Canis lupus familiaris: one gene and its partner. The protein of the gene in region 1 binds, or shares a complex with, the protein of each later gene. Links are inferred from orthologs where the notes say so. Each region holds a gene or a part of one and is shown on either strand. Other genes may lie near its edges. The genes, in order: TCN2 and CD320.

The links.
Region 2: the proteins of TCN2 (region 1) and CD320 are in contact, whole or in part, in a crystal structure (PDB 7QBF), measured with the Homo sapiens proteins. The link is inferred for Canis lupus familiaris from reciprocal best matches to the Homo sapiens genes TCN2 and CD320. Residues at the interface, in NP_000346.2 of Homo sapiens: Asp70, Leu71, His74, Lys77, Leu78, Gln81, Gln82, Glu91, Asp92, Arg120, Gly121, His122, Lys123, Asp125, Arg126, Val128, Ser129, Lys132, Trp133, Glu136, Arg140, Lys169, Arg170, His172; in NP_057663.1 of Homo sapiens: Thr57, Lys58, Leu66, Cys67, Val68, Pro69, Trp72, Asp75, Arg76, Asp77, Leu78, Asp79, Leu133, Glu136, Cys145, Ile146, Pro147, Thr149, Trp150, Asp153, Gly154, His155, Pro156, Asp157, Cys158, Pro159.

What each region holds. Positions count from the first base shown.
Region 1 is NC_049247.1:24,112,443-24,116,243, forward strand, and holds part of TCN2 (transcobalamin-2), read left to right. Parts: intron 1-628; coding exon 629-794; intron 795-3,423; coding exon 3,424-3,539; intron 3,540-3,801. UniProt on the Homo sapiens protein: Primary vitamin B12-binding and transport protein. Delivers cobalamin to cells.
Region 2 is NC_049241.1:53,295,081-53,299,654, reverse strand, and holds the start of CD320 (CD320 antigen), read left to right. Parts: upstream 1-1,726; 5' UTR 1,727-1,744; coding exon 1,745-1,871; intron 1,872-2,343; exon of another isoform or gene 2,344-2,786; coding exon of another isoform or gene 2,787-2,877; intron 2,878-4,322; coding exon 4,323-4,436; intron 4,437-4,574. UniProt on the Homo sapiens protein: Receptor for transcobalamin saturated with cobalamin (TCbl). Plays an important role in cobalamin uptake. Plasma membrane protein that is expressed on follicular dendritic cells (FDC) and mediates interaction with germinal center B cells.

The DNA of each region.
Region 1 (3,801 bases):
GCCATGAATCTGCAGCCCCTCATGTAATACCCCATGCAGAAATGTTTGAATGAGTAAATGGGGAGAGACACATTTTGGATAGTCCTGATACATCATAATGAGTTCCAATTAGCAGCTTGAATCAGGGCTTCATCTGGGAGAGGGACTTGAGTTGGTGAGTAGGATTTGCTGGAGGATAAGAGCAATAGCAAGGGCAGAACAGAGAGGGGGCGGTAGGAACAAAGGTGCCAAGGTATAGAAGACTGACATTTGGGGAAAAGGTCTTCCTAGAAACTGGGATATGGAAGAATGAGATGGAGTTGCAGGCAGGAGAATGAAAAGAAGGGGAGACCCTCTGTGGTAATGGTGTGTGTGGGGTGATATGAACAGATGCATGTTCAAGAAAGATACCTTGGGCTGCTCTGTGGCAGATAGGTGGTAAGGGGGATACTGGAGTCAGAAAAACCAGGGAGGGGCCCAAGCTTGGGCAACCTTGGCACATGAGGGCAAAGGGACAGGGGAGGCTGGGCTGGTGGCTGGGGGTGGTGCTGGCTGGGATGGACCACAGTGTCCTCGAGGGAAGAAAGGATGACTAGCACCTGGCTCCCTGCCCTCACACTAGCTACCCCTTCCTCTCTCTCTGGCATAGTCCTATTGCAACCAGCCATGGAGAATCCTTCACAGACCCGAGAGGTCATCAGCGTCATGCTGAAGGTCCCCAGTGTCTTGCCACCATACAGACACTCCATCTCTGTCCCTGCTGGGTCCTCCTTGGAAGATGTCTTTAAGAAGGCCCAGGAGCTCGGAGGATTCACGTAAGACCCCTACCTCTTGGTCCTCACCCCACCGGACCCCACATCCCTGAAACAGAACATGGATGGGATGGGGATGGAAGAAGAGGTTCCCCAGTAGAGGTGCTGGCCCAGGCTCTGTTGTCTTCACTCCTTTTTCTTTTCTTTTTTTTTTAAGATTTTATTTATTTATTCATGAGAGACACAGAGAGAGGCAGAGACATAGGCAGAGGGAGAAGCAGGCTCCCTACATGGAGCCTGATATGGGACTCAATCCCAGGACCCTGGGATCACAGCCTGAGCCAAAGGCAGATGCTCAACCATTGAGCTACCCAGGCATCCCCACCTTCTCTATTCCTGAATGGCCCACACTGTAGTGGAAACGGGCTGCTGTGGGCCAGCATTGTCGGTGGCTCTGAGAACATGCTCTGGGGGCAGAGCATCCACATTGGAATCCCAGCTCCACTACTCCCCAGCCAGGTACCCAGAGCTAGTTATTTACCTGCAGCCCAGTGAGAACACCAGCTGTGCCCTGCTCCTCACAGGGCCCATGCAAGGAGTCTAGGAATTAGCACACAAAGAGGACATGGCATATGTGGGAAGTGGCACCTGCACTTAGTTAGCTCAATACAGGCTAGCTTTCAAAAGAATAAGAATTTTTATTATCAGGCAATCTTGGCCTCATTCCTGTGACGAATTACCTTGGGCAAGTCCTCTGTAGAATGTAGAGGTTGGACAACATCCTTAAACTTACTTCTCACTCTGACAAGATTCGACAAGTCTGGGGCTGAGGATTTCTAGAGCATTGCTCTATGCCCAGCCATGTCCATGCTTAAATAACATGGGTGGAATTCTTGTGTTACCAATGGGGAATCTGAACCAGAGGAGTTGAGTGCTTCCACGGGATCACCCAGACTCCAGACTTCTCTTCTAGAAAGCTGGGCCTCAGTTTGAGAGGGCCTCAGTTTCTGTTCCCCACCTGGAGTTCCCAAAGGACAAAGAGGGTCCATAGCTGGTGTCTTGAAATTGTCTGGGCCAGGGAATTTTGGGCCAGAGATACACAAAAACCCCTTTAAAGAACAAAAATTCTCCCAGACCTAGGTTATTTCTGTTATACTATGACTTAGATGTATATTATTATGGTTACCATTAAAAGTCCCTTTTCTTTCTGGCTCCAAACATCTGTAAATCCTAAACAACTTTGCAAATTAGATATAAAGTGTAAAAAGAGTAACATTTAAATAAGGACTATTTGCTGAGGAGCCAGGTGTACATGGCCAGGCATGGGATGGGGTGAGCCCGATGCTCTCAGCTGCTGAGGCCTGAGCTACTGTCAAGCCTGAGTTTGTCCAGGTGACTGTGGCTTCTTAGGCCCTTCCCTGGCCCCGAACACTCCATTCACTACTGAGCCCACCTCAGTTCTCTTCCCAGTAGTCTGCAGTGCATACAACACAGTCCCAGATGGCCACACACACTGAGCAACTTGGCAGGCCCAGTCTAGCAGGCATTGAGAGTATGCAGAACCTGCTGGCATTCATGTCTGAATCATGTCCTCAAAATGAAGAAAAATGGAACTTAACATTCTAATGCAGAAGTCCAGGATCTCTGAGAAGACATCAGGGAAACAATTTTGTCAGTGGGGGTGGGTGCCTGAACTGGGTGCAGAGGCCAGACAGGAAGGTTGTATTTAGGGGCCTATAAATGAACGGCAGAGAAAGGTAGACTGCAGAGAGATCCAGAGAGAAAGAGAGGGGAGAGAAAGAGAGAGAGAGAGAGAGAAATAGAAACAGACGTACTCTAAGCAGCCACATGGACCCACAGAGTTAGAGAATGACAGGACAACAGGGGCTACTCTATGACAACCCCCTCTCCCCCGAACACTTTCCCTTTGACGAAGTGACCCTGAGTGGTTTTCTGTCTCCTAAAACGATAGAAACTTTCCCTCCCTAAGACAGAACCATTGATAAGCCTTTTGGAGGGAGGAAGAACATGACTCATGGACTTTTAAGAGGACCCTTTTGGCAGCAGTGTCCATGTGATTTGGAGAAATGCACAGTTGGAGACAAGGAGCTCAGGGAGGGGGTGTTGTAAATAAGGAGTCTCTTGGCCACAGTGGCCAGAAACCTAACTCTAACCCTCTTTGGTAATGGGGAGCATGGGGTGTGTAGAATCAGAGAGAAGATTAAGCCACCCAGCCATAAGAGAAGGGGAATGCCACTGAGCCCAGATTCTTCCAGAACCAGAGACCCAGTGCCACCACCATATCTCCGTCTTACACATCCCTGCTTCTCTGCATGCTGGTTTCACCCTCTCTCATTGGACATTGGCATCTTAATGTGGTTCTGGCAGCTTCTGCTCCTCACCCCACAATGTCAGCTCCCAGAGAGGGGGCAGCTGCTGAGCCAGTAATGTAATAAGCGTCCCTTCCTAAGCCATGGTCCTGGTCAGTGAGGAGGGGTAAAGTCTCCTGAATGGGCAGTGTCGGGGGGAGTAGAGGAGGGGTAGAGGTGAGGCCCATGGCCTGGAAAGGATTTGGTGAGCTCTGGCCCTGAGGGACAGGCCAGGGCTTTCCTGGTGGGGGTAGTTCTGTTTCTGCCCTCAGGTCAGTGGAAGCAAAAGTCACCCCTTCTTCCTCTGCCTCTCCCTTTGGTAGGTATGGAACGCAGAACACCTTGTCGGGCCCCTACCTGACTTCCGTGATGGGGAAAGAAGTTGGGGAACGTGAGTTCTGGCAGCTCCTCCGAGCCCCTGACACCCCGCTCCTAGAAGGTAAGTCTGGTGGCCACCCACCTCTGGACATCTCCCCTGACCAGCCTGGTTGCTGTGAGGCTTCCCCAGCTCACCTCGGCTTTCCCCTGAACATTTCTGGGCCTCAGCCTCGATAATCACTGATGCTCAAGTTGCTTATAAGTTAACTGAACCCTTAAGAATTCTTAAGTAAGTTATTGTGGCAACTCTAGGAAATCAGATAGGCTAAAAATAAAAAGAAGAAAAAATCAGGAAGCCCCAGTGGCTCAGTGGTTTAGCGCTG
Region 2 (4,574 bases), on another chromosome or scaffold:
GAAAGGGTCCCAGACCCAGATGTATAATGGAGCCCCAGAGTGGGTGGTATCAATGCTAAAACCTCATCAGTGGGGAAAACCCTGGGTTGAAGCTTCCGGGCCAGGCTTTCTGGAGGAGTTGCGACTCTAGTTGGAGCAAAGGATGAGTCAGATTCAGAAAGGAGATAGGGAGGGAAAGGAAGTCTGTGCAGGGTGTCCTGAGGTCACCAGGAAGGCAGCCCTGAGGGCTTCCACAGATGCAGACAAGATATGCCATTGAAGGTTTCTGAATAATTTTAAGACCCAGACTTGAAATTTCACAAGGGAAAGAGGTCTGACAGCTGAGCTTTTCTGTGTGCTATGCCCTGTTCTGAATGCTTTCAGGATCTCTGCTCCTTGGTGGAGCAATCCTGTGAGGTCATTGGTGTTGCCACAACCTTGGGACAGAACAGGAATGGGAGCACTGGAAACCCTCGCCAGCTCCCCGAAATCTGGTGTGAACCTGGCTGCTGATGACTCTGCCTAACTACTACAAATCAATGGCTTCTTCAACTTTTCTCCCTGCACCTCAGAGACCTTTGAGCCTCAAAGATGGGATGCTCCCCACCCATGCATGCCGGGTCCTGTTTGTCACCTTTCCATCTGCCTCTGCACCTGTACACCTTTACCTCTTACCCATTTCCCCTGGGAATCTGGGAGATTCTGAAACAACAGCAATAAAACCCAACACACACACAATATATACACACTCAAAAAGCAGGTGTAACTTTCAACATTTTCAAATCGCGAAACATGCCAACAATCTGCAAACAGAGCCCCTTGTGGGAAAAATCTGGATGCTGTAGCGTTGCTACCTGGGAAACGGGGTGATAGATCCTTGCGCGCCTGTCAACACTAAGGAACCAACACGCCTGGGGTTGTGCTGGCCGACAGACCGGTTGCTTCTTCTGAAGGCAGAGCTATAGATAAATACTTAGTCTCAAGAAAACAGAGCAGCTGATTGGACAGAAAGCCTGCGGGACATGTGTAATTTACGTGCCTACTGCTTGAGCACGCGAAGGGAAAGCCCACAGGGGACCTTTGCTACCTTGAGAAGAATCCTATCCCGGTGAGGAGGACTAAATGGGGCAGTGGGCGGGGGTGAGCGCCTCCAGGTGCGAGGGACAGGACCTTGATGGAAGCCCGGGAGGTCTGGACGTGTCTCGTTCGTTCATTCCCTAAATGTTTAAGAGCCTACTACTGTGGCAGACGCTGTGCTTAGGCACGGGGGATGCAACGAACACCACAGCATTGCGGTCCTGCAGCGGACGCTCTAGTGGGTCATCGAGACCCTAAATCAAAGTTAGCGAAGCGGAGAGCCCCGGGGCATTGGAGAAGCTGGAGGCGGGAGAGGCTGGGGCGTGCCTGAGGGGAGTGGGCGCCGTATTAAATATGACGATTCGACGAGCGCACTTGCTGCGGGACGCATGCGACACATCCGATGTTGTACGTAGACACCGACCAGTTCGCTTACGTCCCCATAGTCCCTACCTTCAAATGGGCCCAACACCTTTCGATGTTCCCGGTCCCCGGAGAAAGCGGGTAGAGCCTGAAATTGCGGGTCCCCTCGTATTCGGACGTTTACGGTACCCTTGGCCGCGGGCGCCGCCGCTCCTCGGGGCTGGGGCTCCGCCCCGGCCGCAGCGCGCGTGCGCGGGGGCATAAAAGCGAGGCCCCGGGCGCGTGGTCCGAGCCCTGGCGGGGGCGGCGCGGCGGCGGCGGAGGCATGGCGCGGGGCGGAGTGCGGCGGCCCGCGGCCCTGGGCCTGGCGCTGCGGCTGCTGCTCGGCTTCGGGCTGGGCCTGGAGGCCGCCCCGACGCCGGTCCCGCTCCGGCTCCTGGCCCAGGCCCCGGGTGAGTGAGCTCCGGCGCCCCGCGCGCCCCTCGGGCGGCCGCGCCCCGCCCCGCGCCGGCGGCCCTCGCCATTGGCTGTGCGGCCGGGCCGTCCCGGACACTCCCCCGGCACGTGGCCCGGGGCTCGCGCGTGCGGGGCGCCTGGTGGGGACCCGGGCGCCGCGGGGTGCCGCTTGCGCCTGCCGGCCCCGCGCCGCGGCTCAGCTTTGCGGGCGCCCTTCCCCCGGCGCGGGCGGGAGGCGCGTGGTGGGCTCCCGGCGTCCGACCTCTAGCTGCAGGGCCGGCCGCCCGGCGCCTCCGGCAGCAGCTGCCTCCCGAGCCCTCGCTCGCCCCGGACCCGGTACGGCCCAGTGTTCTGGGCGACCAGCCCCCGCCCTCCCCGTCTCCGCGCCTCCGCGCCTCCGCGCCTCCCTCCGCTGGCCTCGGAGGATGAAAGGCTTCCCTCGCTCCCGGGGACTCCGCCCTTGGGCACCTGCCCCTGGGCCTAATGATCTTGGAGGCCCGCTCCGGGGTTCCCAGAGGCAGCCGGGCGGGGTAGAGCGACCTCTGTAGGCACAGGTGACCCGGGCTCTCAGCTCTGAGCTCAGGTTCACTCACTTGCCCCTTTCCTGCATGATGCCGCCTTACCTGGGCTCCTGCCTCACCCCTTGCACCTCCGCAGGCTGAATGTTCCTGGGCCCTTTAAGGAGGCAGGACTCACTAACCAAGGACCAGAGTCTACAAGTGGGCTCTGTCCTCAGGACACTGAGGGAGGGACTCTTGGTGTGCTCCTCGTACGGGGGAGGGAACTGAGGCTGGGAGGGAAAGGCACTGGTCGCTTCAGCTCCTGTCTGACCCCCCAGCCCTGTGAGGCCTGGTCTGCTGTGCTCTGCTCCCACTTTCAGGAAGAGCGTACACTCCAGGGAGGGAGGTGTGATGTTGGCAGGGCCGGGAGTGGCTAGGCCTGGAGAGGAAGCTGCGCCCAGACCGCCAGACCCCCGCGGGCAGGGAAGGAAGCCAGATCCAGGTTGGCCGCAGCTCTTCCTGGCTTCAAAAGCTCAGGGACCGTGTGGGCCACAGGTCTCATTGAGCCTAGAGGCCCATGGAGGGTGCTGGCTGTGGGGAGAAGGGGGTTTGGAGCCTCAGGCCTCTGAGTAAAGGTGGAGGTGGCAAGAGGACCAGGATGGAATGGAGGGCCACTAGGTTGGGTCCAGGCCACGTGCCCCCCCCTCCCCGCCCCCAGGAGGAGAGCCTTAAAAGCCATTCCTTCCCTCTGTCCATCAGACTCCCTCCTGCCAGCCCAGGTTCTAGGCCCTTCTGTGCTCCTCCCCATCAGCATGTAGCCTAAACCTCATCTCCTGGGGTCCAGGAAGGCTCAGATCTCATCAGGACACAGCCTGGACCCTTGTGTGACTTGTGTCTGTACCACCCTGGGCTTGGGGTCACGAGGTCCCAGCCCTGATCGCGCAGTGTCCGGTCTGTGTGGATACCAGTTTGAGGAGCGTTGTTGTAAGTGGAAGGTGGAGCTTTAGGCGTCTCTGAGAGGTGCATGAGACCCCTTCCGAGAAGAAAGCTGAGATCTGAAAACTGAGGAGGAATCACCAGTTGCAGAGTGAGGGGAGGAGGGAGCACTGGGCCAAGGACCAGCTCAGGCAAAGGCCCTGGGGCAGAAACAAGCCAAGCCTCTTGGAGAACAGTGGGGAGGCCAGGACAGAGGGATCCGGATGAAGAGGAAGAAGGAGGGAGGAGGTGAGGTCGCGGAAGGGTTTGCCACAGGGCTGGGCCAGGCCTTGTGGCCACATAGACAAAGTAGGGATTTGGTATGAGAGGCTCAGGGGACCAGGGCAGGATTCTGAGCAGAGGGGAGGCAAGGGCCAGTGACTGAATGATGTGACTCTGAGGCTGGAGATGGGGGTGGGGCCTGGTGAGGAGGTGGCACATTCAGGATGGGGACAGTGGTCGGATCTGGGAGGAGTTTAGGAAGTGAGTGGACAAGCCTTGGTAACTCAGCAGGTCCGCTGCCCGGAGCCTCAGTTTCCCCTTGGCGAAGCAGGTGGGTTATAGTGGGCCCAGCTGACCCTCACCATGGACCCCGTCCAGGGCAGTTTCAGAGATGGCCCCTACCCCAGTCTGTCTAACCGCCGATCTTGGGGAGACCATCCAGGCTGGAGCCGGGTAAAAACTCCAGGATCAGTGAGACCTGGGTTCCAAACGAAGCTGCCACCAGCTCCACAGCCCTGGGCCTTGCCTCCCTCCTCGGTGGCTTCTGCAGCATGGGGATGGCAGTTGCACCTGCCCTCCAAGCCTCCAGCGCAGTAGGTCCTCAGCAAATTGGTGGCCACCAGTGTCGATCCAGCGCCCTGGGACCCGGCCTGCCTCTGGTGGTGGTCGGTGGTGGTCGGTGGTCGCAGTCTGTTGGCACTGTGCCCCTGGGGGGAGGGGGCCCGGATCTCACTCTTGTGCATCTTGCAGGCTCGTGCCCACCTGCCAGCTTCCAGTGCCGCACCAGTGGCTTCTGTGTGCCCCTCACCCTGCGCTGCGACGGTGACGAGGACTGCCCCGACGGCAGCGATGAGGATGAGTGCAGTGAGTGGCCGAGCACCTGGGGCCGTGGGGAGGCTGAGTGTGTGGGGAGGAGTGTAGCTTGGGGGTGGGGTGGGGATAGTGGGGCGGGGCCTGAGGGTGGGCAGGGTTTACAGGGTGTCAGGTGTGAGAAGAGGTGGG